Drosophila melanogaster: one gene and its partners. The protein of the gene in region 1 interacts with the protein of each later gene in a pairwise test. Each region holds a gene or a part of one and is shown on either strand. Other genes may lie near its edges. The genes, in order: CG14770, Atg4a, CG5539 and CG30060.

Region 1 (7,885 bases):
TATGGGCTATCTGTGGAGATATCAGTGAGATATCAATGTGGGTGAACGTATTGTGAGTTGAAAGGTGAGTCGGGGAACCGTCGTTAAGAACAATTAGGCTGTTTTCAAGAATTACGGTTTCAATTTTTTTACCCCTTGTATTTGTGCGAGGTGAACCCCATAAAGGACTCCATGAGTTAAGATCACCCAGGAGTATTGTGGATCCGTTAAGATTTTGAAGAATTTCTGATATGTCAGAAGATGAAAAAATTTGACTTGGTGGGATGTACGCATTAACAATATTAATGACCTGTTCAAAATTAAGCTGCAGTGCGGAGCAGAGTATGCTGGAGTTAATGTTACGGTATGTATGTGGGACATTCCTTTTAATAAGAACACCAATGCCTTGTTTGGCTGAGGTGTTATAAGAAAAATTGTGGAAGTAACCACTATATTCTTTGGGGCAAATAAAATTTGTAGAATTACATGGAAGTTTGGTTTCCTGCAAAAATACAATATCGGGTGCATGGTCTTTTATGAGTAGTGTCAGTTCGTTGTAATTATTAAAAATGCCGTGGATGTTCCATTGTAATATAGTAATTGTCATGATTAAAAATTTTTTTTTTTTTATTTATTGTTTTTTGTTGGACTGTTATTAATTTGTGGTGTGTGTATATGAAGGTAAGGGTGAGAGGATCAGGACTAGGAATCGGGATCGTCCATAGTGTCTGAGTCTGTTGTGTTGATTTTTGTTTGTAGATTTGAGGTTTGTGAAGCAATTGATTCGTTTGAGTTGGATCTTGAGGTCATTAACGTATTGTTGTCGTCGTTGTAGGTTTGTCCTAGTAGAGCGTTTGCTTCCGCCCTAAGGGAGCGAGATCGTTCGATGCATGTTTTTTTTAGGTAAGAGAAATCAGTTTTGTCAGAGGTGCTTGGGGAGGAAGTAAGATTCTCTTCGAGATTCAAAGAGTTCGTCCGAGAAGTGGGATACGTTGGTGAGAGCGGAGCTGGTACTTTTGTCGAGCTGGTGGGCAAGTCGGTGTTTGTAATCGTGTTAGGGTTTCGGGATTTTTTGACAAGCATCACGGATGCTGTGCTTTGGTTTGCGACGGTCGAGTAGGTAAGCGTGGGGTTATTTGTTGTGTTTTGTTGTTGTTTTAGTATAGTGCGAGCTTCATAGAAACTGCATTTTTTGCTTGTTTTGATGTGGAGCAGTTGTTTTTGTGTTTGGTATTGTGGGCATTCGGGTGAGGAGGCTGGATGTTGGCCGGTGCAGTTTGCACAGAAAATGCGAGTGCATGGCACGGGAAGGTGGGGAGCGAGATTGCATGATACACAGGCAGGTGGGTTTTTGCAGTGCTTTGATGTGTGGCCTAATAATTGACAAGACTTACATCTCATCGGGTTGGGTATATATTCTGACACCTTAACTGTGTGCCAGGAAACCGTTAGTTTACTGGGAAGAGTGAAACGGTCGAATGTTACGAGAACTTTTCCAAAAGGTTTGGGGGTGCCGTCGATCATTTTGGTAAATTTAAATACGCTGTGTACATTTTGTGATTTTAGTTCCTCAACAATTTCGTTTTCTGGAATGTTAATAAGACAGGGAGCGTAAATGGTGCCTTTGACAAAGTTAAGAGTGTTGTGGAGCTTGCACTCGATATCGCATAAGCCAGGTAAAGAAGTCACTTTGATAAATTTGTCACTAATTTCCCTGGAGTTAACCAGCAAGAGAAGGTTACCATCCCGAAGATTAGAGATAGATGTAATGTCTTTGCTGATATACTTAAGGGCTCTATGGACAGCAAAGCAGTTGTAGTCGGATATGGTTTTCGGAGAGTTTTTTGATGAGACCACTAAATATCTCGGATTTTTGCACTGCGTTTCAGGGAGGTCTGGGAAATCAACTTGTAATTTTTGAAAGGGTCTTTTTTTCTTAGCTTTGGGGCTAGCGCTGAGACTGGCAAAGCGATTATCCCCCAAATTGAGTGGCCCGGGGGCCATGGTTAATAAATTTATGGATATTGAATGTTTTTGATTTGCACGTACGCGTTGATAAGAAGATCAAGAAGATAAGATGATAAATATCAATGTAACGGCGATGGTAATTACGCGATAAGCAAAGCTCACACAATTGGAAAGACACAGACGTCCGCACTCGAAGAGAGATAGTCGGTGACTGCGTATCCTAAATTAAAAATGATAAATTAAGCTGGGTGCTCGGTTCTTGGGAGTAGGATCTAAGCATAGAATAATGATGGGGGACTAGGAAACAAGCCTTTTACTGGATTCCCGAACCAGTTACGCTATTCCTTTAATTTTTACTTCACAGACTTGGTAAGCAGCACTTCCTGTCAATTTATGGAGTTATATAAGGAGATTTATCGCCGGATTGATAATTAAAACTGCTCGACATGTCGGGTGCATGTTGGACATGGACTCGGCAGACTGCAGACTGGCGGCGTGGTGGCGTTGTGGCTGTTATGCAAATCGTGCGACTGGGAAAGCAGTTTACTTTTACTTTTCAAATCGATTATATGTGCACACAGCCGCCATTTCGTGCCCGCCCAGAGCACACTAACCCACTAAATCGCTTCAAGTGGTATTTTGGCATTCGGAACGAAATGGGTTTGGGCTATGCAATTCGCGAGCTTCCCAAGTGGAGTCGTTAACCCGCCGCCGAAGTCATTATCTAATGGTAATGTGCTGCATTTTAATTGCTCACTTCGTTCGTTTATCGATCGAAGTGGACGCACCTTTCACCCGACACTTGCAGCTTGCAGTGGGGATTGCGAAAATCCCTTCTCTTCATCTCAATCCATCATTAATCCATTCATCATTAATCATCAATCATCAGGGATTGGCCCATGAGTGAACTGTCGCGAGCAATCGGGAAGTTGTCTATCGGTGGCTATCGTTGGGATTGGGAAAACGATTGGCAATGGTGATAAACTAATAGAATTGCAATTAGCCTATAGATGGTGTTTACTGCCCGATCATTAGTGCTTGTCCTTGGAATTCAGAAGGATCTTTCACGTGGGCAAAATTGATTACATTGGGCCTCTCTTTCCGTTTTGTGATTTTTTCTATTTGCCTATCTTTGACCGTCTAATTGCCTTGCACTTGCATCGAATTTTTCAACGTCAACTGGTTTTTCAACTGGGTGGTTGTTAACCCGTTGATTGACAACGGGTTTCGGTTTCTCCTGCGCAGGAAACTGGCCGCCGCCGCAGCAAAGGCCACATGCCGTATACGTAATCCGCTTTAATTGAACCACTATCGCACGCACCTATTTTCCAAATTTTCCAAACAATTGTGGCAGGCAGCGGTCATAAATTACAACAACAGACTGAAGTTCGTTGCCGTGTGTTGCCATTGTTGCTGGTGTTGCACATTTCACATTTCGCTTGCCACAACTCCAGCTACAGGTTGGCCAGCGTTGGTGGGATTGGCCCAAACCGGGTATAAATCGAATCTGGTCCCGAACGCAGAGCCACATTCAGTTCGCCACTGCCAAGAGGAGCACTTCGCGTAACGGTCTACAGTTTCGAATATTTTTTTTGATTGTGCCCCAGTGTGTGATTCAAAAGCAACCAGAAAACCATGCTCAAGTTGGCTGTAAGCACCGAAACACTTTACAAACATAGATTCGTTTAATGGAATGAACGTTTTCAAGTCAATAAGATAGTTTATGAAAAACAAGAACCAAATATTTCTGAATATTTCGGAATGGAAAATGGAATGCATGTTCTGTTTTTCAACCTCACCACCTCATTAACAACTTGGAAATATATTTAACATTAGATTTTTAGTTTAAAATGGAATACCGCATTGACTATATTACCCATTCCTGCAGATTACCTGCCTGGCCCTTCTGGCCGTTAGTGGAGCTCTGAAGATCCACGACTACCACCAGGGGCACGAGGAGTACGAGCACCACGACCATCATGAGCACCACGAGCCGGAGCACCATGTGAAGTACGAGCCGGAGCACGAGGAGACGGAGCTGCACCACGAGGTGGACCACAAGCACGCCACCTCGCACCAGAGCGTCAAGTTCCACCACTACCATGCCGTGCCCGTCTACATCAAGAAGGAGGACCAGCACCTGGTGAAAAAGCCTATCGAGATCGGCGGCACCAAGCAGAAGCTGAAGATCCTGCACCCGAAGAGTGAGCACAACCACAACCACGGACTGGTGCTCGAAAACCACAGCGAGTCGCACCACGAGCACGGCCACTACGAGGAGCCGGTGCACCACTCGGAGCACTACGAGCACTACTCGCACCACGAGTAGGACTTGGACTACCAGAATCGGAAATGCCAAATGAGCTGTGGGGATTTCGTTAGCGTTTAAGGATTTGCTACGTTAATTTTCTTGTGTTAATAAAGCGTTGACCTAGAGTATAGAGTACCACCCAAATCAAGAGATCTTATATTATATTGCTTAAACTTTTTTGATTGCTCCACTCTGAATTTGCCACAACTTCTTTCACAGTGTATTTAACTGCTCAGGTGAACTTCGATAACGATCTATCAATAATTGAACGCGCAGGCAATTTATCGCACCACGACCGCTTGTGGTATTTCTGTGTTCTGGTATATTTTTAGGTTCAACCCTGGCGAAAAATTGTTTTTGGCATAACTGCTATAAAGTACTGAAGAAATTCAATAATAATCTTAACAATGGCAATTAGACAAAAAATGGTTTAAAACACTTGATGCCTTCCAGAGGCGGACGGCATGAGTTATCGAACTATCAAAGAACTGCTGGCCCCGATAGGTTCCGATACAAATCGCACCGCTATCGAAGAAGAATTGACTTCCATTGTATATCGTTTGGAAACGCAAGAAGTGCACAAAACTCGCTGCTTTCCGGTGCAGTTTGTGAAGAAGTTTGCTAAAAAGTGAGTATTTTGCACCTGCAGAGTATTCCGTGGCCGCCGCTGGCTGCTTCCCGAGGACTCCGTGCTGCCTACGCTTTTTCGTGTTGCTTTTTTCGGCTGCACGGCCCCAAGCCAAAAAACACGGACGCATCGCCTGCCGTGTGTATGTGTGCGTGCGTGTATGGGCGAGTGCGCGAGTGTTGGTAGTTACTTTTCCAGCAGCTTTTTCCAAGTATTGCGGGTAGCGCCGGAGTTGCTATTGGGACTCCCTGGTACGGACCCCTAAAAAGACCAGGGGCGGGCAGTGGCAGGCTACCGAGTGCAACCGCATTCCAGCAAAGCTGGCGCCCTCCGTCCGGCTCCTCCCCCTTGGCTCGGCTGCCGAGATGTACACACACATATTCGGATTCTGATTTTGCCGAGAGGAAGTGCAGTTCCGGAGTCCCGAGTGTGGAGCTGCGCTCAATCTGCATCCTGCAGCCGCGCAACAAGGAGCATCGCTCGTCCCTACTGCGACTCCTAATCGGAATCCCTCTTGAACTTCTTCTTGGCGAACTAATTGATTTGCACTCTCTTGTATCGTTGCAGCTCGTGGCGCCAACTGCGACGCAAACACGCAAGAAACCCAGACAAACAGGAGCTATCAAGGCTTGACACAGAAGGTCATGTCCAACGCGGATAAGATGCAGGACCAGGAGCACGACGACGAGCAGTCCTCCGACATAGAGGTGAGTTTTTGGATTCTCTTAGCGAGCCGACGAACCTGTTTTCACGCGTATATTCCCGACTATTCGCTGCTTCGGTGCAGGGATCCGGCGACAATGTGGGCCGTGATGACGGCACCGACGATGACGACGACAGCAACGGCAACATGCAGCAGGAGAATGGAGATGGCGGCAACGGTGGCGACGGCCAGGAGCACTCTGGCGACGAGGAGCAACACCACAGCCAGGACAACGAGGGCAACGATAACTCCGCAGGCCAACAGCAGCAAATGCAGCAAGTGGACCGAACCAGCGCCACCAATCTGATCATCAATTACTTGCCACAGGACATGACCGACCGCGAACTGTACAACCTCTTTAGCGGCTGCGGGCCCATCAACACCTGCAAGATAATGCGCGACTTCAAGGTAAGTTCGGTTGTGGCCGCCTGAGCGCCCAGAATACCTGCTGAACTGCACGTAACAGGTGCCATCCCTGTCGCACGTTGCATGTACACACGAATGCAGCTTACACTCCCCTCTGCTTTGTATGCCCGCCAACGGAACAGACCGGATATAGCTTCGGCTACGGCTTCGTGGACTACAAAACGGAGTCGGACTCGGAGGACGCCATCCAGAAGCTAAATGGCTTCTATGTGCGCAACAAGCGATTAAAGGTGCGTTAGAATCCCCCGGAATTCCCATGACTCCTTTGTGACTCTCTTTTTCGTCTCCCTCAGGTGTCGTATGCTCGACCGGGTGGGCAGTCCATTAAGGATACGAATTTGTACGTCATCAACCTGTCGCGAAACATCAACGACGACATGCTCGACCGCATCTTCTCGCCCTATGGCCTGATTGTTCAGCGAAACATCCTGCGGGATAAGCTCACTGGACGACCGCGCGGCGTTGCTTTTGTGCGGTGAGTACGGGTGCGATCTGCGTGTGCAGCATCCACGATTCGAAATTAGGTCACGGTGCTCAATTCCCGTCCAGTGTGCCCCACTTAATTGTATGCTCACAGAAATCCACGTCCAAATTTATCATGAGTTCGACTGGTGGCTGAACTGCACTTACTTCGATTCTGCTTTTGAAACCCGCTTTCTTGCTTGCAGTTACAATAAGCGCGAGGAAGCTCAAGAGGCGATCAAGGCGCTGAACAACACGGTGCCGGAGGGCGGATCCCAGCCAATCTGGGTACGACTCGCCGAGGAACACGGCAAGGCCAAGGCGGCCCAGTTTATGGCCCAGATCGGAGGTGGCAATGGTGGCGGAGGCGGTGGTCCGCCCCACATGGGCCCAGGTGGACCGATGCACCCACCTCATCACCACAATAATCACCATCACAACAACCACCACAATCCGCATATGCCGCCGCATCATCATCAGCCGCAGCATCCACACCAGCATCCGCAGCACCATCCGCAGCTGCACCACATGCAGCACCACCATCCCAACAACCACAACAACAATCACCCCAACAACCACCATCATAACAACAACAACAACAACCACCACAACATGGGCGGCCCGCATCCGCACCACATGCAGCAAATGCACCCGATGGGCATGAACATGGGCATGGGCGTAAACATGGGAATGGGCATGGGCATGGGCATGCCCATTCACGGAGGCGGCGGTGGTGGTGGTGGCGGCGGCGGTGGAGGCGGTGGTGGTAACTTCCACCACATGGCGCACAGAGGTAGATCAAATAGAACAACACGATCTCAAAAACCGCATCCATATAACCATGCACAGAAATTTATTTAAACGCCATTAATTTCTTTACACGATATTAGCTGCATCTCACAGGTGAAGTGTTCATGCTGCCATTGCCGATTTGCAGCCGATTCCCCAGCCAGCCGCATCCCGTAGGCAATGGCATTTGCCACAGCCCCAACAAGAACAGCAGATTCCGTTTAAGCCGCCGCCCGCAAGCCTCCAGAACAACCATCAGATATATTGCGCATTCGGTGGCAGATCCCGTTCCCACTCCGACTACCTAGTGCCGCTCTACTTTCCAGCCCCCGCCCATCCATCAGTTGTTTCCATCTCCTCGCCAGCTGCGTCACTTTCGGCCTACCCAGCTGTTTTGGCCGTGTATGTTCCGGTATATGTCACGGTTCCGGTCTCTCTTCCTGTTACCATGAACAGAGCCAGTCCACAAGCTTAAAGTGAGTGCAGACGGAGGCGGCGGAGGCGGTGGCCACATGGTAGAAGCGAGTAGAAATAGATTGAGTGCAATCGGAGGAGGGAAGAGGAGATATTACCCAGAAGCGATATCCAATAGTAGCCAACTCTCTCGCTCTCTATGTGT
Region 2 (9,355 bases), on another chromosome or scaffold:
ATTAAGAGGTATCAACTGGTCGAACCGCTATGAACTTCACTTCCTCCCCGGATTACCAGTAAAAATCGTTAAAATCGCAGTCGCAACAGCTGTAGGAAAACTATAAACCACATTGGGAAATGCGTTTGGGATGGGGTGAATATGGATGGCTACGCCTTTTGCGGCTCTCTAAGCCCTGGGATGAACTTTTGTGCTCGATTTCCAGTTGCCAAAAAGCGCCGGAAATTGCTGGCAACTGTCGGTGGTCGCCAGATCGTCGGCATATATGCAATGTCTGCAGCAAAGCCCCCTTTTTCATATGGAAAATGAACCTGATTCTCGAGCACAGCGGCGAAAATTACATAATCGCCGGGCAAATGGGAGCACAGTCATATCGAAATTGTGCCAAATTGCAACTGCAGATGATAATAACGATAATTTATTTCTCCCCCAGTGAGATGTTTCTATTATACGAGCAATTTTCTGGAATCAGCGGGTGCCTAATTTCGCCCGATTTTCTCTGTTTCAGCAGCCAGGGAAAACATTTCAATTCTTCTATTTTTTCTGGTTTTTTCGGCCCACCAACAGAGGTTTTCTCTAGTTTATCGGCTTTCCCGAGGGTTTTTCCTCTTTCCGCTACCTGCGAATACCTGCCCCGAAAAAAAGAGGCGTGGGAATCGCCGAACATACAGGAGGTGCAGAGTTGGGAAATCGGAAAAAATTGCAATTGCAGGACGTGTGAAAATGTGCGGAAGACAGGAAACGTGGGCCAAGACCACTCGCAGATTTCCCGGAACGGCCTTGGCCAATGGGAAAGGGATTTTTCCCTGATTTTGAACTCACCTTTTTCGGCAAAGAGGGAAGTTATATATGTTTCGTATCCGTAAAACGAAGCTCCCAAGACACCAGAAGAACTCTGCACACACGCACTTGCTTTTGAACCGTCTTTTTTTTTCAACTCTAGGACGAATTATCGCACGGTTGATTTACGTTTTTTGCTGGTTTGGCTTAACAATTTCCTTTTGGAACATTTATTTGCACACAATTATTTATTAAATGCCGCACACACACACACAGGTGATTGGTGATCGATGATGGGCCGTGTGTGGTTGTGTTGTTTACGTACGTGTGTGTGTGCGTAGAGCACGCCTCGCACACACTGACAAAAATTCATTCACGACACGGTGATCACGATCGTCGCTCTCGCTCGCTCACTCATGGTGTTTTTGTGTGGAAAATCCAAGAGAAAAATAATACTATGTGAAGCGCAGACGAAAGACGCACAAAGCTGAGTTATTAACGTGTGTTATTGTTGTTGTTGTTTCTCGTTGCTACTGGATGTTTTCTGCTGCTGTCGCCTTGTATTTACTTAATTTCATATGCATATTTCGCCCATGGTTTTCTTTTTTCCGCTGCTTTTCCTTCTACCTGTGCTTTAGTTAAACGAACACACAAAAACAACACACACGCACGCACACCACACTCCGCGCACACACACACGCACGCACGAAACGAGAGACGCAAAGGTAAAGTGGTAAAGTGTGTGCAAGAAAAGCGACAAGAAACGGAACGGAACCAACGGAACCCGTATATATGCACGCGCTCTTCGATTCAATGGCGATTTCGGTTTCCACTGCACTCGCTGTGTTTGTGCTAGTACATTTCCCAGTTTCCTTTAGATTTTCGGTACAAGTGTTGCTATTGCTGGCGAATTTTTCTCCTGGCCACCGCGTAGCACTCGCGACGTTACGATTTTTCGACGTTTGATGCGCGGGTGGAGAGCAGACAAGCGTCGGGTTGGAATTGTCGGGACAGAGTGTGACCGCGGCGCCATCCCCGGAATATACCATCCGGCTGCGGGAAATACCCTAGATACCAAACTAATCGCTCATATATACCAAACGGCAGCGAACGGCCACGCTAAAGAATCGATATGTACATCGATAGTATCGCACTGCAAACTGACATCACTATTAGCACGCTTTTAAAGTTTGTGCAAAATAGGTAAATAGAAAATTGGGAAAATAGGCAAGCGCCGGGAAAATGGGAGTCCGCGGCCTGACCAGTTACATAGCGCAGCGCGCGGAGATCTACCTTAAGCCGCACGAGCTGCACTCCACGGCGCTGGTCATCGATGGCGACAACTTGAGCTGCAATCTGTACAAGGATGTCACCGGGAGCTACTCCGCCTTCGGCGGCGACTACGACGACTTCTACCGCGCCGTGGTGCAGTTCTTCCAGGTTCTGGCCGAGTGCAACATTCGGCCCTATGTGCTCATGGACGGCGGGTACGAGGAGCGCAAGCTGAGGACCGTTAGCACCCGGCTGCGCAACAAGATTTCCGTGATCAAGAAGATAAACCCCAATGCATCCATCACGCTGTTCCCGCTGCACCTCAAGGAGGTTTTCGTGGACGCTGTGCGCGACTGCGGAGTCCCGGTGATGAGGTGCGTCTTTGAGGCGGACGACGAGTTGGCTGCTCTGGCCAGGAAACTTAACTGCCCAGTGCTCTCCTACGACTCGGATTTCTACATCCACAACGTCAAGTACATCCCGCTGATCACGCTGACTGTTAAGGTAAGGCATAAGTTATTTGGATTCCAGCATATACTAAGCGATTCCATGTACCCCAGGTTCTCACCAAGCAGGTGAAGGACAAGAACAGCAGCAACCAGAAGGACAGTCGAGATCTACGTCACTGCGAGGCCAAGAATGTGAAGAAGCGCACCAGGGCCAACAAGATTGTGACTGGCATTCAAACCACAGGGCTGACAGCCAGTACAAAAGGCAGTTCCAAGACCTACAAGTACCTCGACTGCTGCATCTACCGGGTGTCCCATCTCTGCGGACGAGGAACTCTGAGTCCCGAGAAGCTACCCCTTTTTGCCGCCCTCCTGGGCAATGACTATATTGCCCGCAGTGCCTTCAAGAACTTTTTTGCTGCGGGAATGGGCAAAGCAGGACGAAGTCGCAAACTAAAGCTCCAGCAGAAGCGCATACAGGTCATCCTCACATGGCTGAAGGAGGAAACGGCGGAATCTGCTCTGGCTAAAGTGCTGTCGAGACTGAAAAAGGTTCGTTGCTTGAGATATCTTTTTCCGATTTATGCTAAAAATAATATTCTTGCAGAACCAGCGTGATTCCCTGGTCTCCCAAGTGAATGCAGCCATCTCTGGTTACTCCAACGAGTTGTGCCACGCCTACGATTACTTCGATGAGCACTACGAGAATGCTTTTCCTTATATAGAACCCGTCAGTGAAGAGGAATGCAGCGACGATGAACATTCGTCTAGCTCCGATGAAAAATTTTCAGATGTCGAAGAAGGCGAGGATCAGGAGGAAGCTGATAACCAAGATGAGGAGCAGCAGGAAGAAAATCAAGACGTTGATTCGGGTGATGAAGAAGAAGAGGAGGCGGATGAAGGCCTCGAGCTGGAAGTGGAAGACAAAACGCTACTCTTCCCACAATGGTTTCTGGACAAACTATATCCCGCGCACCTGCCCCGCAGCTTCGTGGACCTTATGCACCTGCGCAAGTACATCAACAACCCACAGATCGAGCACTTTCCCTTCCACGACTCCAATGAAGTGGCCTTACCCATCCTGAACTACGTGTTCGCTCTTCTCCATCACGTAGAGTGTGAGAAAATTGAGCTACCATTAGAAGTGGATATGGATATAGAGGGTTCGACAGTCCCCTATCTCACCTACCTCACCAGAGCTCTGCGAGTGACGAACGTGAGGTATTTCAAGATGCCCATTGAAAAGAAGCCTGCCTATCCGTTTGATCCTCTTTCGCCGGATGCTAGGCATTTAAGAGCTGTATTCGAAGACAATGCTCCCAATGCGGATACGGAGAAGTTGTTCAGCAAGCTCGACCAGTTGCCGGAGGACCTGAGGCTGTACTTTCTGGCCATTATCTACTGGTTACATCGCTCGGAGCACTGTGATTTGCTGCATCTTCACTCGCTGATCCTTAGTTTGGTTGTCCTACGAACCATAGATGTTACAATCCCTGCTGAACGAGAGGTGAAAACCTTCCTTAAAAGATTTGGCAAGACATTGAAAGCAGAGCGAGCAGTGAGGGATAAGGAAGCTGCCGAGGGAATTAAGCGCGGCATCAAACCTGCTCTGCTAGAGCTTTCTGTTCCAGATCGGATGGCTCATGTACCCAAATCGGACTGCTATTTAACTCAGGAACGCCTACTGCCGCACTTCCATATGCAGGAGATCTTCAAAAAGAAGTTTGACTTGTACTCCACCACGGTTATCCACGCATTTGCTGAATTTCAGGCTGTGGTTTACCAACTCAATGGGCTAAATTCTCTTTTGGATTTTCCACTTTTGAGTCCGAGGATGAACCAGCTTTATTGCGGCGCCTTTCTCTACAACATGTATGATGTACTGAGGAATCGTGCCGATGTCCGCTACCATGTTGAGAACTTCCTGCTGCCCGACTCCAAGTTGATGTTCGATTTCTATTGCTACTTGTACGACTGGTGCGCGGAGTTTATACCAACTTGGAAGCGATTGGAGGTGGATCCGACGGCGGCAAAGGCCCTGCAGAAGAAGCGATTGAAGAAGCAGCGTCAGGCGGCTAGGAAAGTGGAGCTAAGGGAGGCCATCGCGGATCCCAATGCGGAAATGGTCGAGGATGCCGATCCAGAAAACGACTTCTTCGATCTGAACAACAAATTCTGCGCACTCAAGGTAGCGTAGCTAGTTTGAAGTCCCGCACGTGCAATTTTGAAGTTTTTACATTGTTACAAATCTATACTTTGCGTAAAATAAGAAAAAAATTAAATATTTTTTAAAAAACTTCATTTTTGAATGCATTTCATTAACAGTTTGGAAAAATACTGTTATTTCCTATGTTATGGTCATGTTAAGTGCAAGGTTCGGTATTTTGGCAAAGTAAAATACCTTATCAGTTGCGGTCATACTAACAGCTACGTCACTGCGTTGTAATCAACAAAAAAGAAAAATAAATCAAACTAAACCAGCCGCAGACTGATCAAATGCTGGTTATCGCATAGTTTGTAATCAGCGCCCGTCACTGCCAACAACAAATGAAACCCCTGTGACCTCGGGCCAGAAGCAGGAGCATTGCCGTTGCTGCCAGCGAAAACACAGGCCAAAACAAAGGCCCACCCGAAAAACAGAACGTCATTCGAAGGCAATTATCGTATAGACGAGCAGCGGAGGCCCTGGTGTCCACCCCCTTCTCCTTCTGCCAGCGCACCGGGCAGTAGATGCTGGTTGGACTCAGCGACCAGCTAGCGCGGATCATGGAGAGCGTCTTCGAGGCGTACTTGGGCCCAGACAGCGTCCTCGCTAGTGCAGTTGGCCAGGCGGTGGGCAGCGGAGAGCCGGAGGACATTCCCCGAAGAAACACCGACGTCTGGGTCCTGGGAAAGAAGTACAACGCCATACAGGGTAAGATGAGACCTTATTTAATGCTGTCATATGGGTACAAATCTAGCATATTGGTCAGCATGAGTCATAAGGGGTTTCCCAAACCTTTTTTCGATTATCATCGATGGATACCAAACTGAAATCCATAATCAACACCCTATCCCTTTTCAGAGCTAGAGCTCATCCGACGGGACATTCAGTCGCGCCTGTGGTGCACATATCGCCATGGATTTTCGCCGTTGGGAGAAGTCCAGCTCACCACGGACAAGGGCTGGGGCTGCATGCTGCGCTGTGGTCAGATGGTTCTCGCCCAGGCCCTGATCGACTTACATTTGGGACGCGACTGGTTCTGGACGCCGGACTGCCGTGATGCCACCTACCTCAAGATCGTGAACCGTTTTGAAGACGTAAGGAATAGCTTCTACTCCATACACCAGATTGCCCAGATGGGAGAGTCCCAGAACAAAGCGGTCGGCGAGTGGCTGGGACCGAATACAGTAGCCCAGATTCTCAAGTAAGACCATTGGCCTAACATGGTGGATAAGTGGTATAATCAATTGCTGATTTCAGAAAACTAGTGCGCTTCGATGACTGGAGCTCCCTGGCGATTCACGTGGCCATGGATAGCACAGTGGTATTGGATGACGTATGTAAGTGTGGAAAATGGCCTAAATAGCCCGACTATTTGCCTAACAACATTGTCCACTTTGTAGATGCGTCGTGCCGAGAAGGAGGCTCGTGGAAGCCACTGCTGCTCATAATCCCCCTGCGCCTGGGCATCACAGACATTAACCCGCTTTACGTGCCTGCCTTAAAGCGCTGCCTTGAACTAGACAGCAGTTGTGGCATGATCGGAGGTCGACCAAACCAGGCTCTGTACTTCCTGGGCTATGTGGACGATGAGGTTCTCTACCTAGATCCTCATACCACGCAGAGAACGGGCGCCGTGGCACAGAAAACTGCTGCGGCAGAACAGGACTACGACGAGACCTACCATCAAAAGCATGCTGCTCGCCTGAACTTCTCCGCCATGGACCCCTCGCTGGCGGTTTGTTTCCTCTGCAAGACCAGTGATAGTTTCGAGTCCCTGTTAACCAAGTTGAAGGAGGAGGTGCTCAGCCTCTGCTCGCCTGCGCTCTTCGAGATCAGTCAAACCCGCGCGGTCGATTGGGACACCACGGAGGACATCGACTGGCCCACCATGCCGGACATCGATTGGCCTGCGGGCACCTCGGATTCGGACTCTTTTGCCATAGTTGGTAAGTTGGTTCTGTTGAAGCTGACCATTAAGACCATTATTTATAACTTCACAGCTTGTAATCTGAATCAACAGTCCGAAATTTCACTCCGATTTCACTCAATAAATTCACTCCATTTTCCAGAAGAGAGCGGCAGGGACAGCGACGCCGGCTGTAGCGGCGCCATTGGCAGCGGCAAAAAGCCCAGTGAGAGAGCCGTCATTTGAGAGGTCGCCGGCGGAGCGCCTGCGCCTGCGCCGCACCAGAGCAGATGAAGCCCAGCCAGGCGAAAGTGGAGCACCCAATGAGGAGAAAGAGAGTGGGCCGGGAGGTCGAGCCCCTGCGGATGCTGCGAATGCAATAAACTAAGGCTAAAGTGCATAATTAGACGAGTGGTTGAGATTTAGATTTTAGTATGTTTACGATTTGTACGAATGCGGTTCTTAGCGATTCATAATGCTGCTTTATTGTACGCGATTGACTCCACGGGAGACAATTTGGCAAAACACACACACACAGAGCGACACTTACGGACACATACCGCTTTTTGATGATCAATTAAACATTTTTATGCAACGTTGTACATTGAAGACTCGATGAGATCGAGGCAATCGCCTTAGCCCGGTGTGTATTTATATGTTTGTAATCGTAATATTCATTTTCCTTTCGTATATTCGTCTGTATATGCTCAAAAATGGACCAACAACTAAATACATAATACTTGGACTATATGTATATATCTATATATGTATATATATATGTATGTATGTATATATCAACTTTGCCATCCGCCTCTGGACTCAACGGCTGGACAAACTCAAGCTACACGAACCAAGGAACTTTCTCGAATGAGTAACCAGGATGAGGATGCAGGAATCTACGTTAACAACAAACACGCGGCTACGCAGCTGGCGAATTGACACTAATTGGGCTTGACCTTTGGCCTTCCGGGCTGATTCCCGCAGAAAGGCAAACTGGGATTTGCAGATCAGAGTATCCAACTGTCTCCTACTATCGGAAGATAATCCTTTCTATTCATATTCAAGCGACTTATGTTTCTTGCGCTTCGAATGCATTTAACTTTTGCAATTCATCCATCCTAATTCTCGATATTCTGGTTAAATTCTATGTTGTATTCACTATAAAATTTTCTAATCTCAATTTGTTGGTTCAAAATCAAGCACTGGATATTTAAAGCTGATCGAAACGGACTAGCCTCTAGTAGGAAAGGTTTTTGAGCTACTATTTGAGTTCCTTGAACCTTAGATTCCTTTCAAAAGCGACACACCCAGTTTGCCTTTCCTCTCGGGGAACTCAAAGACCCAGCGGAACCAGGAGAGTAATATGAACATTCAACAACTATTTTCGGATGTCTTAGAGTATGCAGCACGACCTCTCAATCCGCTTCTCCACCTTGGGCTCGCTGTGCAGTGCCATCTCCACGTGCTTTCGTGCCAGCCAGGACTGCTTCTGCAACCGATTGACCACGATCCTGTAGGCGCCAATGATGTCGGAGCGCGGCCCGCTCTGCCTGGCGTTGATCAGCATCTCGGAGGTGAGGCCCAGCTCGGCCAGGATCTGGCGTGCCTCGAACTCCAGGGCACCTAGCTGGCTCAGATCCTCGGTGTTCGTGGGCAGCATGACGCAGCTGCCCGTCTCCGCGTCGTAGTTCTTGAACAGGGGGCAATCCTCGGCCACCTCCACATTCCACGGATTGATCTTGGCCGAACCGATTGACTGTCCACCGTTGGCCAGCTGCTTCTCCGGTTCCGTTTCCATGGGCGTGACCTTCTTCTTCAGGCTGCCGCAGAACATGTACCTTCTGGTTGGACGCTTCGCCTGCTCGGTGGACTGTGGCTCCTTCAGCTGACTTGACACCGGGACCAACAGTTCGTGTCCCATCTCGATCGGTTGCAGGAAGTTCTGCACAAACATCTCGTCCTGCTGCCTGGTGTTCATGCTAATGGCCGGCTTCTTGACCACCTCCGCGTATCGATCCCGTAGTGAGGCGGACTTCCGCAGCCGATGCGACTTGCTGCGCACCCAGAAGATGGACCTCTTGACCGGCTTGGTGTGCTGGTTGATCTCCCACTGCATCAGATCGGCACTGAGCTTGGGACAGGTCACGAACTGGCTGTTCAGCATGTCGTCGATGGTTGGCCGCTGGGCGGGTATATGAATCAAGATGCGTTCTAACGAAGATATTAGGTTAAAGCAGTTTTTTTATTATTTAATATTTATCCACTCACGTATAAGTCTTATGCAGGGCAAGCTGAGCTGGCCGGGCAGCAGATAGTCACCCTTCAGGATGGCTGCTTTCAGGCCGGGAATCGTTGGTGCCCGGAAGGGCATGTTTCCGACCACCATGAAGTAGAGCAGGATGCCCAGGGCCCAAACATCCACGGGCGCCCCTATGTAGTGGTCATCGGAGAAGAGCTCGGGCGCCGCATACGGAGGGGATCCGCAGAACGTGTCGAGCTTTTGATTGGCACCTGTCAAAGGGAATGGGAAAGTTGATTAAATTGCCGACGCACTGGCTTGGCTGTTCACCCGTACCATTGATGAGTTGGGTACTGAAACCGAAGTCGGCCAGCTTGAGGCGATCCTCGGAGAGGAGCAGGACATTTTCCGCCTTTATGTCCCGATGCACGTAGCCCAGACTGTGCTGCAAGTGCGATTAAGTTCAATTAATTTTGCAGATGAAATAATTGAATATTGAAAAC
Region 3 (8,039 bases), on another chromosome or scaffold:
AAGTTGAGCAAAATTGTAGCCGAATCGATTATATTGTATTATTATTTCCATTATGTCAGGTCGAAGCAACAGTTGCTACTGCTGCGCGGACTACCGAATGCCCAATGGACTCGCTTCACTAGCGCCGTTTTGGCCAAAAGGCGCCGCCATTAATACAATCTGGCCCATAAACTGGGTCTCTTTCTCCCCGCCGCGCTCTGGTCTATTTTGGTTTTGGCCGACTAACAGGCCAAACAAATCTATAAATATGCATAAAGCTGGCCAAAAGACAGGCGCACACACGCGGATACCCATGGTTTCTGGCTTCTGGCTCCTGGTCTTGCGAAAGCCGCGGGCAAAGCCCCCAGGCACTTAGCCCGGCTCAAACCACTGATGGCCGATGCCAAGTGCTGGCCACAGATTTGTTGTCGACTCTAGGAAGTGACAAGGAATTATTTGATTGTCTCTCCGCTTTTCGGAATGCGAGCTCAATCATTATAAACCATTTTCGGTGGGAAACCAGTGCTGAACACCGATGAACACCGATTACATTACAGGCAAATGACCAAAGAGCTCCTCGACTTAAACGTCTTTCGAAATTACTCACAAAACACTCTCCACGCTTATCAACTCAGTTCGACAGTATACGAAACCCTTACATTACTTTTTTTAACTTGTTTGCCATTCTGTTTAAGCAGCGGGCATGCTGCGCTTGGTATACATTTACTATGGAACCCTGCTACCTGGATGGAGCAGCTTGCGGGCTATTGGACATGACCAGAGACACTTCATCGAACTCTGGCTGAAGTATTGGGTAATCTATGCACTGCTGCAGGGACTTGGAGTCCTCACGGATTTCCTGCTCGGTGGCCTATCCTTCTACGCTGGTCTCAAGCTTATCCTGTCCGTGGGCCTCTGGTTCAGTGCCCCATACAGCACCAATCACCTGTTCAATCTGCTTAACACGTACTCTATGGGAAAACTATGTCCAGTCGTCGAGAAAGGTGTTCGCTGGCACGAAAAAGTCTGTAGAAACATTTTTCGCGGCTTTATGAAATCACCACTGGTGACAGTGGTTATGCCAAGGGACGAGGATGAGCATATCACGGAGCCACGGATCAATAACCGTCTGCTGAAAAGAGAACTGTCGAATCTCATGACGCAGATTGCAAAGAATTCGGCCGACCATCGCCATCAGCATGAGAGCCCTATGATGATTCATTCCCCTCGGCATTTACGAGCAGCTGAACTGGACAAATTTAACCGGGAATCCATGCACAATGTCATCGATTATTTAGGCCAGAGAGGGGGGGACCAGCAGTAGTCCGCCCTACTATAAGCCAACTTCAGCCGTTCAAGAGGAAGGTCAGCCTGAGTAGCATTATTTGGTTTTCCTGCTCCTTCCAAAACCTTGGTGTTGAATCACTCTAGGGGAGTTTACAGAAGAGCAGCAGCTGCCATTAATCTTCAATTAGAAAAGTTCAATGCCAGCGGACGGGCATGTTAATTGATTCATGGATCGGCGCCAGGAATCGATGATCCAGCGATCAGTAGCGATTTGTTGGCCATTGGCCCATATTGTTATTACAAATTGGTGAACAAAACTGCGACCGATAAATTGTTGAAAGCAAAACAGAACACTTGCACGGACCTTTGGCGGCGATGCAGCTGATTAATGGATAACGCCGAAGGGCAGGCGAAAACAAAAGACTGAAGCAACGAACTTGCTGCGACGGTCGGGACGGTTGTTGCGGCTTTTTGGGGAATGCTGTTCTGTTGCTGTCGCTGGCAACAATCTTAATGCAATTAGCACACTATTAATCTTGATCAAAATCCGAAACTCAGCAAATTCGCAATAACAACCGCAATGTAAGTGACGCATTCGTCAGCGCATTGTAAAGCAATTTGTTTCAATTTCGTGGATCTGATTTGGCAAACAAATTTTCGATGGGGGTCGAACCAGCTTCTAGAAGCAATAAGGCGGTTAATCACTTGAATAACATTTATTGCTTTATTAATTTCCTGTATTTCATGTGATCGTACTGATAATGTAGAAACACAAGCGTTAGCTTTGCTTATCAGGAAGGAGATGGAATAATAAACTCTAATGATCTGTTGACAAAAGACAAGCAAACTATTAAAGTGTTCTATCTTTTTTTAATAAACGAGAGCATGGAAACTTGTTGTTTACCCAACAGATTGAAATTATACACAAACACATACATGTTTCTAAAACACCTTCCAACAGCTTGCACTTAATCATTGGCATTCAGAGGTTATTCCATCAGCTGCCTGCACCCACGTCGCGGAGTCATTAGCTCCTGGCCAAAGTTCCTTAGCCTTTGGCCGCGGTCCTCTCGATTCTCGGATGGAACGGGTGCCTGGGGTAGGCTCCATTTAAGTTTGGGTTAATCAGCGATAAAGCGCGCATTGCCATTGACAGCAAGGTGGAGCAAAAAAACGAGGCGAAGAACGAAGCGGAGTGCGAAATAAGATGGTGCATTTACATATTTTGTAAAAAAAAAAAATAACAATAATAATAAGACGTGCAATTAATAAATCGGCTTTGTCTCGCATCGCTAATTGTTTGCCATTAATTTGCATAACAAAATTAATTGGCGGCATTTATGCAAATCCCGAAAGCCCACAAAAAATCACTTCCTAGGCGATGCGGCTGTCGTTGTGCCAAAGATGACACCCCAGTGGAGATGGGGATCGGAGCCAAAGCCACTTGAATTGAAGTTCAAGTTTTCGCAATTGACCCACAAATTAATTATGCATGCATGCTGGTAATTGTGAATTTGCCTTTTACAATCGCACACGTAATGCCTCTGCGTTATTTCCGTCAACATTTCATTTATTAGACGCAATTACAATTGATTTGGGTTTCGGTTTCGGTTTCGGTTTCAATAGCTGAGATTTCTGTGAATGGGAATGGTATGGGAACCTTTTCTTGATGGCTTTTTGAATGCCTGCCTAACTGAAATGTCATGAACGAGCGTTCGGCTTTGGACAGGGTCAAGACTTTTTGGCTCATTGTGCGAAAGAAATTTCGACCGAAAACCGATCTGAATCAGAAGCCAATGCTCCTAACCTTGGATTGGCCGAAAATTATCCGAATGAGCCATGTTTTTCAGTGAAATCGGTTCGCGTTCCCACGTGTCAGAACCATTTACATATTACACTCAAATGAAATGCACGCATTAATAATTTTAATTAAAATCCGTTTATTGCAATTACAAAGGGATAATCAAATCGGAGAGCTCTTTTACGGGCAGTTAACAAATTTATGGCAAATTTATTAATTGGTTTATTGCACCGCGTCTGATGTTTATAACAAATACTCGATGCGACTCGTGATTTGTGTGCCTTTAGCGATACTCTGTTAATGTGAAGTACACCTTAACCTGGGCCAACTCCGATCGGTGGAAAGTGAAGGTGGTGAAGAGTCCGTAGTCCCCGAAGGGCAGGGGCATCATGTCCAGAACCTTGACGGGAAACCGAAAGTGCTCCAACACTATTTCCGGCTGTAATCGATAGAAGAACTGAAGTAAACATCATAATCAATCATTTCTTAGGCAAACTCACTGGAATCGGACACTTGTTCACATTGGTTCTGTTCCCGAAACTGCTCAGGATGATGTTAATGAAGGGATGATTCCGCTTCTCCAGATACTCGCACACATCCGACTGGCAGATATTGTAGAGAAAGGGCTTATAGCCACTGGCCTTCTTCAGCAGCTGCATGCGCATCTGAAGGAGAAACATATTGGTATTACACTAAGGTGTTGGTGCTATACGCCAGCAGGCTGTGCTTTACACTTTACACACAACTGGCTGTAGAATATCGCCACACTTTTAAACAAACAGTTAGATACACAGGCACATCGATCTTAAACTGCCAATTTCGATTATAGCCCATGCATTAAATTCGGAATTTTCCAAAAGAAGAACACTTATTCTGGCAGTCCTAGTATCCACCGTATATTTTAGATATGTGTTTCTTTGGCCTTGTTTCGCAGTTCCTGTTCTTCGTTTACGGCACCATGGGACCGGCCTGGCAAACCTATAAGACTCTGAACAGCGGAGACGAGGAGTTCCTGGCCTGGGCCAAATACTGGATAGTTTACGCCTTCCTGGTCACCTTCGAGGTGCTGGCGGACGTCTTCCTCTCCTGGCTGCCGCTCTACATGCCCACCAAGTTGCTCCTGGTCGTGTGGATCGTGCTGTCCGCTCCGGCCGCCAATGTCTGGATATTCGACGCCATCCTGCGTCCGGTGCTGGCAAAGCGGCAGGAGGAGATCGATCACTTCCTGCACCGGGGCAAGGAGAAGCTCCTGATCGACGCCCTCGCTTCGATGACACAGCTGGTGGCACAGACCCAAATCTCTGTACTGCCTTTCGTGTCCAGCTTCTGGTCGAGATCGAGCACTGCTCCCCTTAGGACTTCCGATCTGTTGCAGGACTCCACTGGAGAAGGAATTGGAGGCAGAACTTCCGAGGATACTGACTCGGCCAACGTCTCTGTCCAAAATCTGTCCAGTGGTTCCAGTCCCGTTGGCAGCTTAGAGCACCTCCGTGACGACTCTGAGGAGCTTCTGGTGGGCGTTTCGAAGGCCACCACGCACCTGCAGGCGGAGCAGTTCCAGAGCGACGTGTCGTCGGAATCACCCAGGATAATTAATCGCCGACCTCAGCGCAAGTTCAAGAATGCCATTGCTATTGCCTCCGCCACCAAGCTGGAGGACCTCCATGACGATGTGGAGGATCTGCTGGCCAAGACGGCGATGGAGACCAGCGGCCAGGAAGTGCGTCAGCAGCGTCAACCGGCCAGCCGTCGCCGTCTTTTAGCACAATCATTTGTGAAACCTCAAACAGGTTTATAGTTATTTCATTAATTCAAAACATAAATTGGTTTTAGGCATGGATAGGTTTCAAGTTGTTTAATTACTAGTGTTTTGGACTCGCATTTTCTACTATAGATAGCTATTCAACTATGGCATTCAGGAACGCCCTAGCTTTGCAAACTAACTCACCGATACCGGACCTTTTGGCCATCGCAGGATGTTGGCCCGCAGACTCATTTCGACGACATCCCTCTTTACGGCGTACAATCGGCACAGGGAAACGGTGGTGAAGTTTTCGTCCGCACTCAGGCACTCGATGTTTGTGAACTTGGCAACTCCTTGGACCTGAAGTGAGCTAGTGTTCGGTTCATAATCCCAGCCGGCCTAGCTTACGGTCGAACTTGCCTGCAAAATGTGCCACAGCCCAAACAAGAGGAATAACTCTGTCAACGTGGCCATCACTAAGTTCACCAAAGAGCCATTAAAAACTGGCAAACTGTGGCATTATAATGTTGACGAAAGTGGCAAAAGCCAGTCAAGCGAAACCATAATCGATAGATATCAATCATTACGGGCAATTATCAATTCTGTTTAATTACTTGAACTTTCGAATTGTTGTTGAGTTTTAATTAAACAAAAACGTATGGGTCTGTATCCAACAGGCAGCACTTAACTAAACTAGGCGAATGTAAACTAGATTTGGGACATGGGTGTGTGAGGAGCGTGGTGTGTGTTTATGGAATTGATTTGTTGTGTTTATGGCCCTAATCACTGGCCTCATCTTCCTCATCCTCATCGCTGGCATTGCTGTCCTCCTCGCTCTCCTCCGGTTCGCTCTCGCTCTTGGCCTTTTTCTTCTTGGCATCGCCGTCGGATGGGGGCTTGCTCTTCTTCTTGGCAGGCTCGTTGTCCTTCTCGTCGTCGGAGCTGGTGGAGTCGTCGTCCGAAATGTACTCCTTGCTCTTGAAGCCGCTGCCCGAGGTATTCGCCTTCTTGGATGGAGAAGGCTCCGTCTTGCGCTTCTTGGAGGACTTTCCACCCTTCTCGTTGTCGCTGTCACCGCCCGCTTCAGGCTTGTAGTTGCGCATCTCGTCGTGGTAGCGCTGCTTGTCCTTGGCCGCCGCATCCTCCCACTTGGACTTGTCCTTCAGCTCCTTCCACATCTCGCCGCCCTTCTTGGCGATCTCGGTAACCTTTATGCCCGGATTTTCCCTCTTGATGCTCTCGCGCGTGTCGTTCAGCCAGAGCATGAAAGCGGTGGTGGCGCGCTTGGGTTTGCCAGAGTCCTTCTTCTTCTTGGAGGGTTTCTTCTATAAAAACATATAAAAACATGTTACCATAAGCTATAATAATAAGCAAACATTACTCACTGTTCTCTCCTTCTCCTTGTGTTTTTTCTCCTTTTTCTCTTTCTTCTCGGACTTCTTCTCCTTCTTTTTCTTGGCGCCGTCGCTGTCGCCTCCGCCGCCACTAGCATCGCTGTCATCGTCCGAATCACTCTCCACGTTGCTGTCATACTCCTCGGCCACATCGGACTCGTTCTCGTTGGGCTTGAAGTCCTCATCCGTGGACTCTTCATCCGAGTCGCCATCGTCGTCGTCCTCCTCCTTTTCCCTCGCCTCAGCCTTGAGGCGAGCCAGATAGGCATCTGGTTCGTTCTCGTTGTCCGAATCACCAAAGTCCACGTCCTTGTAGCCGCTCTTGTCCTTGCCCATGTTGCTGACATGCAACTTCTTCTGTGTGATGTAGTCGAAGAGCTTGGCATACTCCTCCTTCTCGATGGAGGAGAAGATGTGAACAGTTCCGTTCTTGAGCGTCACTTCGAAGTCGAAAGATCGCGTGGATCCGCCGCTGCGGGCAAAGTTCACAGAACTAATCTCCTCAAAGCGGATATGCAGCGGTGGCTTGTGGATATAGATGAATCCTCGCTCCAGGGGATACAGATATCCAGCTGCAGCCTTGAACGAGCAGCCCACTGCAGCCGTGCCAGAGTGTCCGATAAAGTTACCGGGTCCGGTAATTTTTCGACCGATCAGCACCTTCATCACTTTGCCCATCACCTCGTACACCGGCCCGGAGATCTCTTTCTCCAGCTTGCCCTCGTACTTGTCTCGCAACTCGGCTTCCGAGAATGGCAGCTCAATGGTGGTCTCCTCATCGGGAGCAAACAGCAGGACCAGGTAGTGGTAACGCGTTTGTCCCTGCTTGATGGGCGGATCCAAGGAGAGCACAAAGAACATCTGTCGACTGTCTTTGTGGGGCAGCATGAAGAGCCGCAGCACCGAGTCCATGGGAATCTTGTAGTCGAACGTCTTGCCGTGCAGCTGGAAGAAGGTCGAGAAGATCTTGATGTCATAGCGACCGCGAGGCGTGAGGATCTGGATCTCTCTGAAAATGGCGATGGACTCGCCCGAAGCCGAGATGACCGAGGCCTTGCTCATTACGTTCTGGTGGAACTTGTCTACCGGATCCTCCTCGGCCGACTCCACGGCGGGTATGTGGAACCGCATCTCCAGTAGACCCACGGGCGCATCGTCGTTTTGGTGGAACTCCAGGGTGACCTCGTTCTTGCCGGTCACGCACTGCGAAACGTGCGACAGCGGCACCTCGAAGATGGTCTTCGACTCCTTGTCGAAGCTCAGGACGGAGCCCATGAAGCGGGCGGTGCCCCAGTTCCAGCCCTTGACGCACATCTCCTTCTCGACCATCTCCTGCGAGTAGGCAGCCTTGATAAACTTGCCCAGCTTCTCGTGCTCGCTGTCGCGGAATCCGGTGAAGCGGTGGAGCACGCCGCCTTTGGTGAACACCCTCAGTCCCCAGGTGCCCACGAACTTCTGCGAATTGATCAGGTCTATGTCCTCTGCCGAGATCTGCTCCACCTTGCCGGTCTTGGTGTTCTTGAAGATGATGTTCTGCTCGGTCATCTTTAGGCGTCCGGAACACTTTTTTGCGCGCAGGGAAATGGAAAACCTCGGTCATGCGAAATGTGACAAAATACGCCGGCTTTTTTGCGACTCACCAAGACTCCGCGCACTTCGGCGTTTATGTCGTTGTACTCCAGAGAGTCTGTCATCCTGCACTTCTTCCTCTCCAGTAACAAGATAATAGATCAACTATGTATTACGCCGCCTTGCGAAATTGTCACCAATTTACAATAATTCCGGCAGACACAAAACAACACTGCGCGCCTAATTTTAGGTTAGACGCCAGTCA
Region 4 (7,350 bases), on another chromosome or scaffold:
AACAAACGATGTTACTGTGCGCTAACGTTGGTCGGTTGCCAATAGTTCTGTATCGATTGTGTGTAGACACCTTTGTCGTCTTAAGGATGCGACTTTTCCCCCCTCAAAGTAAAAAGAAGTGAAAATACATCGTTGGCAATCGCGAGTTGCGTATCTGTTTATCTTTCTCAGATAAGCAGCACAAGTACAGACATCTTCCTCTGTTTTTTAAACTCATTACAGTCGGGTCAAAATTATCACCTCTCATTGGTGTAAAAAGATTCCGAACTCATTGCCATTCGTTTACTTAGCGGTTTAAGTGCGCACCAAATGTTTAATTTAGGATTCACTGACTTTTGAGATTATGACAGCCTATATCTGCATAAATATAATTAGTTATACATATTTGGATCCAGTAAAGAGGGAATTTTTTTTTATTCAAAATGCACACCATTTGGCATTCCTGCGGCTGTTGAATTTTATATGAAATCCGCAAATAAGTAAGTTCGCTTGGAATGAATCCAAAAAAAACCTACTTATTCCTATGTCTATGTCGGTATTTTTAGACGCCGTCGCGGCTGGCGGAATAAAATTTAATAGCGTCGCAGATATGTATATTTTGGTTGCCACATATGTTTACCAGATAGATCTACTTGAGGCGATTTACGTCAGACTCCATAAGACCAAATCGAATTGATAGTCATTCAAACGAATCGGTGGAGGAAAGCCTTTGCCTATAAATATTAAAGACTAATTTACCTTAACTAAGTCCAATTGAGTACATACATATGTATATAATTTTGTCGATTTTCCAGCCCAGTTGTAATTGCGTTTTGCTTGTGCGAAGGTCATCAGGAGTTGATTACGGGTACTTATATGTGCTCACAGAATGCAAGGCATATTCCAAGAAACTGGAGCAATCGATAAACCCCATTGAGTAGACCCCATAGACGACCACTGACTGCACCATTCGCCATCCATTCAGGAATCCAATTCTCAAATCCCCACACGTGCAACGCCACCGGAGAATCCTTTCACAATCGAACCCCCCCTATGGTCGTTTTAATGGCTCTGCGGGCGCCATAATTCGGTTTGTTTTTGTTGCTCCGGGTGACCATGTGGTAATGGCCGGAAAACACGTAGCGGGCACGCAAATAGATACTTTTTCGTCACTCATATCACTTGGTCAGTGCAGACAGCTAGAAAGCTACAAAGTCTCTTCATTAGCCTCCGATTTCCGAGGTCGATGATCGCTGCTGGACTTTCCTATCCACCTACGCTCCCCACCCCCCAAAAAAACATAAATATTTGAATTTATCCATGGCTAAACTACCTTTCGTGTTTACCTGGTCGCACGAGGCGATTTCCCGGGGGAACTGGTGGGTTGTTAGGGCTAATTAATCCAAAGTAAATTGCAGGAATACTGAATCAAAGCAACCGTGTAAACAGATATACAGAATAGCGTAGCTACAATGCCAAACCGCTTTATAATTAGATTTAAAGGATATCACATCAAGGATACCAGCTCAACAGTGACTATATATGCGGATCTAGGGGATATCGTGTATCTTAATGACGTTTTTCAGAGGCATTTTGCATTGATGATTGTTTGGTTGGCTTACTTCTTCGCGTAATGACAACTAAATTACCCTCATGGGTGGTCAGTAAATCAATACTAGGCCATGGAAAAAATAGTAGCAGAAATAGTAAAATATTTGCAATTCAAGTAAAACACGCGATTTAATCGAAGCACTATCTATCTTTATATTATTTATATTTATATTATAGAAAATCTCTCACACACAATGAGAAGCACTTGAGGCGAGTTTTCAGGCCTTAATTATTTACTTAATACTTTTCTGTTTACGGTTTCAACTGTTTTTAAACAAGGGTATACTTATTTCATTGTTAAATGATTCAATATGTTTCATTTACACAATACAAGTGACTCAAACGTGATTGCGCCTAATGACGATGAGTTGGCAATCGACTTTAGCGTGATATCTGAAATATGTGGACATATATATTAAATCTTCTAGTACTCGGGTTAATCCAGTCCAGTGTGCCTTAGCACACAGCAAGCTTTTGAAAATCAAGCCATAAATTATAAAAATCGGCAACGTTGAATTAAAATGACAGTGAAACGCAAAATCCAAAGTGCAATAGAATTTCGCGACAGCGAAAAGTCTCGACGGTCCTTCGACTGAAACCACTAATTGAATCGTGTCGTGTCGCAACAGATAAGATCTGGAAATTGAGTGAAAGGTGTACCCGTATATTTGCAGCGTGATTCAAGCGATTCGCGGAGCCATGTTAGGATGGCAGACTCCGGCAAACACGCGAGTGGTGGTCACAATGGAGCGAACAGCGAACGCAGAAACGACCAGAACGGACGCAACGGACGCAATGGACACAACGGACACAGTCAAGGACGACAGCTGCAGTTCCTGGACAATCCGCCCCCCAGCCAAGCCACCTTCAATGTGCGCAGTCTGTGGCCAAGCATAAAGTCTGGTGTTCGCCGCTTGAGGAGCCAGTTGCTCCGGCGGACAGCCACCACGGGTCCAGCGATGGCTCCGTCCGGTGGAGCGGACTTACCTCCCTCGGACAATGATCGGGCTGCGCCATCCAGAAGCGGTGACGGGAACACGGAAACAGACGGCAGTAATCCACATCGAAGGCTGGACGAATCGTCCGTGATGGGCAGTATGCAGTCAGTGAAAAATTATATTAAAAGAACACGCCCAGGCCGGAAAAAAAGAAAAGGTGCATATGTTTTTTAACTAAGCCATTATACTTGTTAAAGTATATATATAAAATATATATGTGCGTATATATAGCTTTCATATCCCAACTAACAAATGAATTTCTTTAAAATTTCTTTTTTGAACCGCACTTGAAATTTTTAGAAATTTTTTAAATCGCTACAAATTATTTATCAAAATTCCATGTGGTTAGTTATTATGATCTTGCCATAAAATGTAATATTTATTTTAGAAAGTGAAACTTACGGTCCACAGATTTTCTAGCCATAGTTATTCGGAAATATGAGTAACTCAATATAAAGTTGGGAAAATATGCTTCCTAGCATTCATTAACTCGCTTGCAATACGATATATGATAGTTAGGGTACTTCGTTGGTCGGCTCTGGTCGACCTTCAAATTCCAAGTCATTTCAAAACATTTGACTTAAGGCGCAGTCGCGTTCTCTTCGCGCTCTCTTTTCGTACGTAGCTCTCCCTTGTTTCTCACCTTTTGTTTTGCTAGCACGTTTCGCTTTCGCTTTTGCTCCTGCATTCCAAACACCCCCCAACCCGATCTCCCAAGCTTCCCAGTGGTAGGTACGCAGTGTTTTGGGTTTACTGATAAATCGCAAGCTTCATAAGCTCCTTTTGGAGAATGCACTACGCAGCTTTTGAGGGGTGGTGGGTTGGACTCAAGGGGTTTCCAACCTGGGGGGGGATGACCCCACACCCCGCACATCGGGAAACCCATCCCTGTTGTCCTTTCTGGGTCCTTCGAGCTCGTGGAAATTTCATTTCAGTCGTAGTATCGGAGCTCAGGAGAGCGCACATAGTGAAAAGTGTGTGGTGGTGAAAGTGTGTCGCAGAATATTTGCTAATTTTAAGTAACTTTAGATAATCGTTCGTCAATCAGTGTCAGCTAAGCTATTATCAATCAAATTAACTTACTGAATATATCAAAATCGTTTAAATCTGTTGGCCGGAAAATCACGTGCTTAACGCATTCAACTTAATTGTGACAAATCGATACCTGAAACGGAAAAGTGCAGGCACGTTGCCAGGTGATGGATGTGAAAAAGTTATACGACCAGTTGGCCACGCAAGGAACATTGGTGAACCACTTTGATTAGGTGGTCAAATGGTGCTCCGTAGGAATCCCTTCATTGGCCGTGTGTATAGGCAAATGTGCATGGCACAGAATCCTCCGTACGGGATGAAAATTGTGTTTTCTTATACGCATTGATTGAAAAAGAGGAGGCGCAGGCGCCATCCCACAGGACTACTCTTATACCATTTGCCAATCGCCACGCCCACTTGTGGCTGATTATCCTTGCCGAGGCTGTCACCAGTGACCAACTGCCCTCCATCCTGGGGTTTCCCAAGCGGAATCAGGAGGAGACCGCTGGCGAGTGCATTGCATTCGTGCCCGTGGGCGATTGCGATTCTGGATCCGACGAGCTACCCGGGCCCGAGGAAGAGGAAGCGGAGGAGGAGACGGTGGAGTCGGTGGTAGCGGCGCCATCTAGGGATCGGGCAGGACGCTTCCGTTGTCCCGCGCTTTTTCGCCGGGCCAAAATGGACTTTCGTAATGTCTACAAGGCGATGCGCATTCGTTGGAGTCGTAAGTGACTAGAAAAATATTCAAATCTTTCAAATGATGGGGAAATTGTGTACACAAATATGGGATTCTTTGAAGACCAACAGTCTATAAAATAGTACAACTGAAATGCGATCTAGAGTAACTACTATAGAAACCAAACAATGAATTTATTTATTCGATTGATCGATTGATCAGTTTTAATTGATCTAGAACAACAGACATCTGCGGTTCTTGTTGTTCCATAAACAATAAAAAAAGCTTATATGCCAATTATAGCAAGCCTAGCTCCTCTTTCCTGTTTTGTCAACCAAAATTTTGAAATTCCACCACCATGCTGGTGAGCTGCCCGATCCTTTGTCCAGTTGAGAAACTGGTCACGGAACTCAAGAGGCACCACGTGATACCCCGCCTCTTTGCCTGCAAGCCAACGAAGGTGATCAGTGTGCTATATCCCTGCGATATCGACATCAAACCGGGCATTATGGTAGTGATTAATGAGACGCTGAAGCAACCGATCATTCGGTTTAAGGCCGATCCGGAACACTATCACACGCTGATGATGGTCGACTTGGACGTGCCGCCGGACAATAATACGGAGTGGCTCATTTGGATGGTCGGTAATATTCCGGGCTGCGATGTCGCCATGGGTCAGACGCTTGTGGCCTACGACAACCGGCGGACCATCCACGGCAGTAACATCCATCGAATCGTCTTCCTGGCCTTCAAGCAGTATCTGGAGCTCGATTTCGACGAGACTTTCGTTCCCGAGGGCGAGGAAAAGGGTCGTGGCACCTTCAATTGCCATAATTTTGCAAGGAAGTATGCGCTTGGCAATCCGATGGCTGCCAATTTCTATCTGGTGGAATGGTTATGGCGATGGACACCAACATACCTCGTCTCGGAACATGAATTCGAACCTTCAAATGGAAATGAAAATTAATAAAAGCTCGAAGTTTTAAATTAGTCTTGTTCTTATAATACAGTTCTTGGGACGACTATAATTTCATACTTGTATGTCCTTGGTATATATAGCCATAATATCAAATCATTGATATAGTAGCATTCAAAAGATAATAGCCGATTACTAATCAGCAAAAAATGAGAACTTAATTGAAACATCGCTGTCCACGGTAATAAATGCCGTGTAATTTTCCGATTTCTCACGTTTTGATATCACCTATTAATCAACGTTTTCATACATATTTTCAGATGACGAGGACTTCACCTCGTCCGCTGGGTACGATGCAGATGATGGGGAGAGGCGTATCATAAACCTAAATGGGCCACAGCCCACTAAGTACGGTAATAATCGCATAACGACGGCAAAATATAGGTGAGTGAGTACGAGCCATTTAGCGCCTGATAACTATCATGACCTAAATGAATGGATTAGACACAAAGTAAACAACAATCTGTCCCATTTGCATGCAGTTTCATCAGCTTTTTGCCCGCGTTCCTGTTCGAGCAATTCCGGCGTTACTCCAACTGCTTTTTCCTGCTAATTGCCATACTGCAACAAATCCCGGAGGTGTCGCCGACGGGTCGTTACACCACGCTAGTGCCACTGATGTTCATCCTTTCGGTGAGCGCCATTAAGGAGATAATCGAGGACATTGTAAGTACTAAGAGTAACATATAGCCAGTTGAGTTGTTGATATCTTTCCATGATTTGCAGAAACGACATCGGGCGGATAATGAGATCAATCACCGATCGATAGAGCGCCTGGATAGTGGCTCGTGGTGCACAGTTCGCTGGTCGGAGTTGACGGTGGGCGATATCATCAAAGTGGGAATCAATACCTTCTTCCCCGCCGATCTGATTCTGCTGTCGTCCAGGTGCGCACCCAAGTTAACCCCAATTTGTTTTGATACTTTATACGAATCTGATGCTTCCACAGTGAACCGCAGGCCATGTGCTTCATAGAGACGGCCAATTTGGATGGTGAGACCAACCTGAAGATTCGACAGGCCCTCCCAGCCACCGCTGAACTGCTGGAGACGAAGGATCTGCAACGATTGGAGGGCAGGATCGAGTGCGAGCTGCCCAACCGGCATTTATACGAGTTTAACGGAGTGCTCAGGGAAACTGGAAAGCCGTGAGTAATTTGTTATTAAATAGTTATGTAAACAGTAAGAGAACTAATTAAACAATGTGTGTAGTCTCAGAAGTGACTTTTGTCACCCTACTGCTATTTCAAATGAATAAAAACATCTTTTTTTTTTGTAGACCCGCTGCTTTGGGCAATGATCAGGTGCTCCAACGTGGCGCCATTCTTCGGAACACGGCATGGGTGTTCGGGATCGTGGTCTACTCCGGGCAAGAGACGAAGCTGATGAAGAACTCTACCTCGGCGCCATTGAAGCGCTCAACCGTAGACAAGCTGACCAACACCCAGATCCTCATGCTCTTCATGATCCTCATCTCATTGTGCATCATCAGCGGCTTGTGCAATCTGTTCTGGACAAGGGAACATTCGGAAACGGACTGGTACCTGGGCCTAACCGACTTCAAGACCAAGAGCCTTGGCTACAACCTGCTGACCTTCTTCATTCTGTACAACAACCTGATCCCCATCTCGCTACAGGTGACGCTTGAGCTTGTGCGTTTCCTGCAGGCCATTTTCATAAACTACGACATTGAGATGTATCACGAGGAATCAAACACGCCCGCCATGGCGCGCACCTCGAACTTGAACGAAGAGCTGGGCATGGTCAAGTATATATTCTCGGACAAGACAGGCACCCTCACGCAGAACGTGATGGAGTTCAAGAAATGCTCCATCGCCGGATACGTATACACAGCTGAGCGAACGCCGGAGGAATCTCAGCTAGTGCAGAATATCCTCGGTCGTCATGAGACGTCCGCCGTGATAGAGGAGTTCCTGGAACTCCTATCGGTGTGCCATACGGTAATACCCGAGCGCAAGGAAAACGGCAACATGATCTACCACGCTGCCAGTCCGGATGAGCGTGCTCTGGTGGAAGGTGCCCAGAAATTTGGCTACATCTTCGATACACGAACGCCAA

Evidence for each region.
Region 2: the proteins of CG14770 (region 1) and Atg4a interact in a two-hybrid assay, tested with the Drosophila melanogaster proteins (one large-scale study listed by BioGRID).
Region 3: the proteins of CG14770 (region 1) and CG5539 interact in a two-hybrid assay, tested with the Drosophila melanogaster proteins (one large-scale study listed by BioGRID).
Region 4: the proteins of CG14770 (region 1) and CG30060 interact in a two-hybrid assay, tested with the Drosophila melanogaster proteins (one large-scale study listed by BioGRID).

Annotation. Positions count from the first base shown.
Region 1 is NC_004354.4:1,365,778-1,373,662, forward strand, and holds CG14770 (uncharacterized protein), read left to right. Parts: upstream 1-3,471; 5' UTR 3,472-3,582; coding exon 3,583-3,597; intron 3,598-3,835; coding exon 3,836-4,276; 3' UTR 4,277-4,399; downstream 4,400-7,885. Other genes in the region: ssx (sister-of-Sex-lethal), read left to right, coding at 5,531-5,593, 5,674-5,997, 6,138-6,245, 6,309-6,490, 6,684-7,270, 7,381-7,574.
Region 2 is NT_033779.5:1,076,013-1,085,367, forward strand, and holds Atg4a (Autophagy-related 4a), read left to right. Parts: upstream 1-4,898; 5' UTR 4,899-5,231; coding exon 5,232-5,415; intron 5,416-5,565; coding exon 5,566-5,908; intron 5,909-5,964; coding exon 5,965-6,044; intron 6,045-6,107; coding exon 6,108-6,653; intron 6,654-6,776; coding exon 6,777-6,859; 3' UTR 6,860-7,366; downstream 7,367-9,355. Other genes in the region: ast (asteroid), read left to right, coding at 2,023-2,556, 2,613-3,053, 3,109-4,698; CG4629 (uncharacterized protein), read right to left, coding at 8,007-8,824, 8,882-9,124, 9,189-9,297.
Region 3 is NT_033778.4:23,800,965-23,809,003, forward strand, and holds CG5539 (uncharacterized protein), read left to right. Parts: upstream 1-3,846; 5' UTR 3,847-3,974; coding exon 3,975-4,865; 3' UTR 4,866-5,015; coding exon of another isoform or gene 5,016-5,171; 3' UTR 5,172-5,180; downstream 5,181-8,039. Other genes in the region: CG30177 (uncharacterized protein), read left to right, coding at 683-1,303; CG13561 (uncharacterized protein), read right to left, coding at 3,351-3,506, 3,568-3,732, 5,016-5,171, 5,232-5,285; Ssrp (structure specific recognition protein), read right to left, coding at 5,591-6,136, 6,197-7,768, 7,846-7,899.
Region 4 is NT_033778.4:13,420,908-13,428,257, reverse strand, and holds CG30060 (uncharacterized protein), read left to right. Parts: upstream 1-4,610; 5' UTR 4,611-4,654; coding exon 4,655-5,263; 3' UTR 5,264-5,280; downstream 5,281-7,350. Other genes in the region: ATP8A (ATPase 8A), read left to right, coding at 5,533-5,656, 5,755-5,938, 5,999-6,159, 6,222-6,419, 6,551-7,350.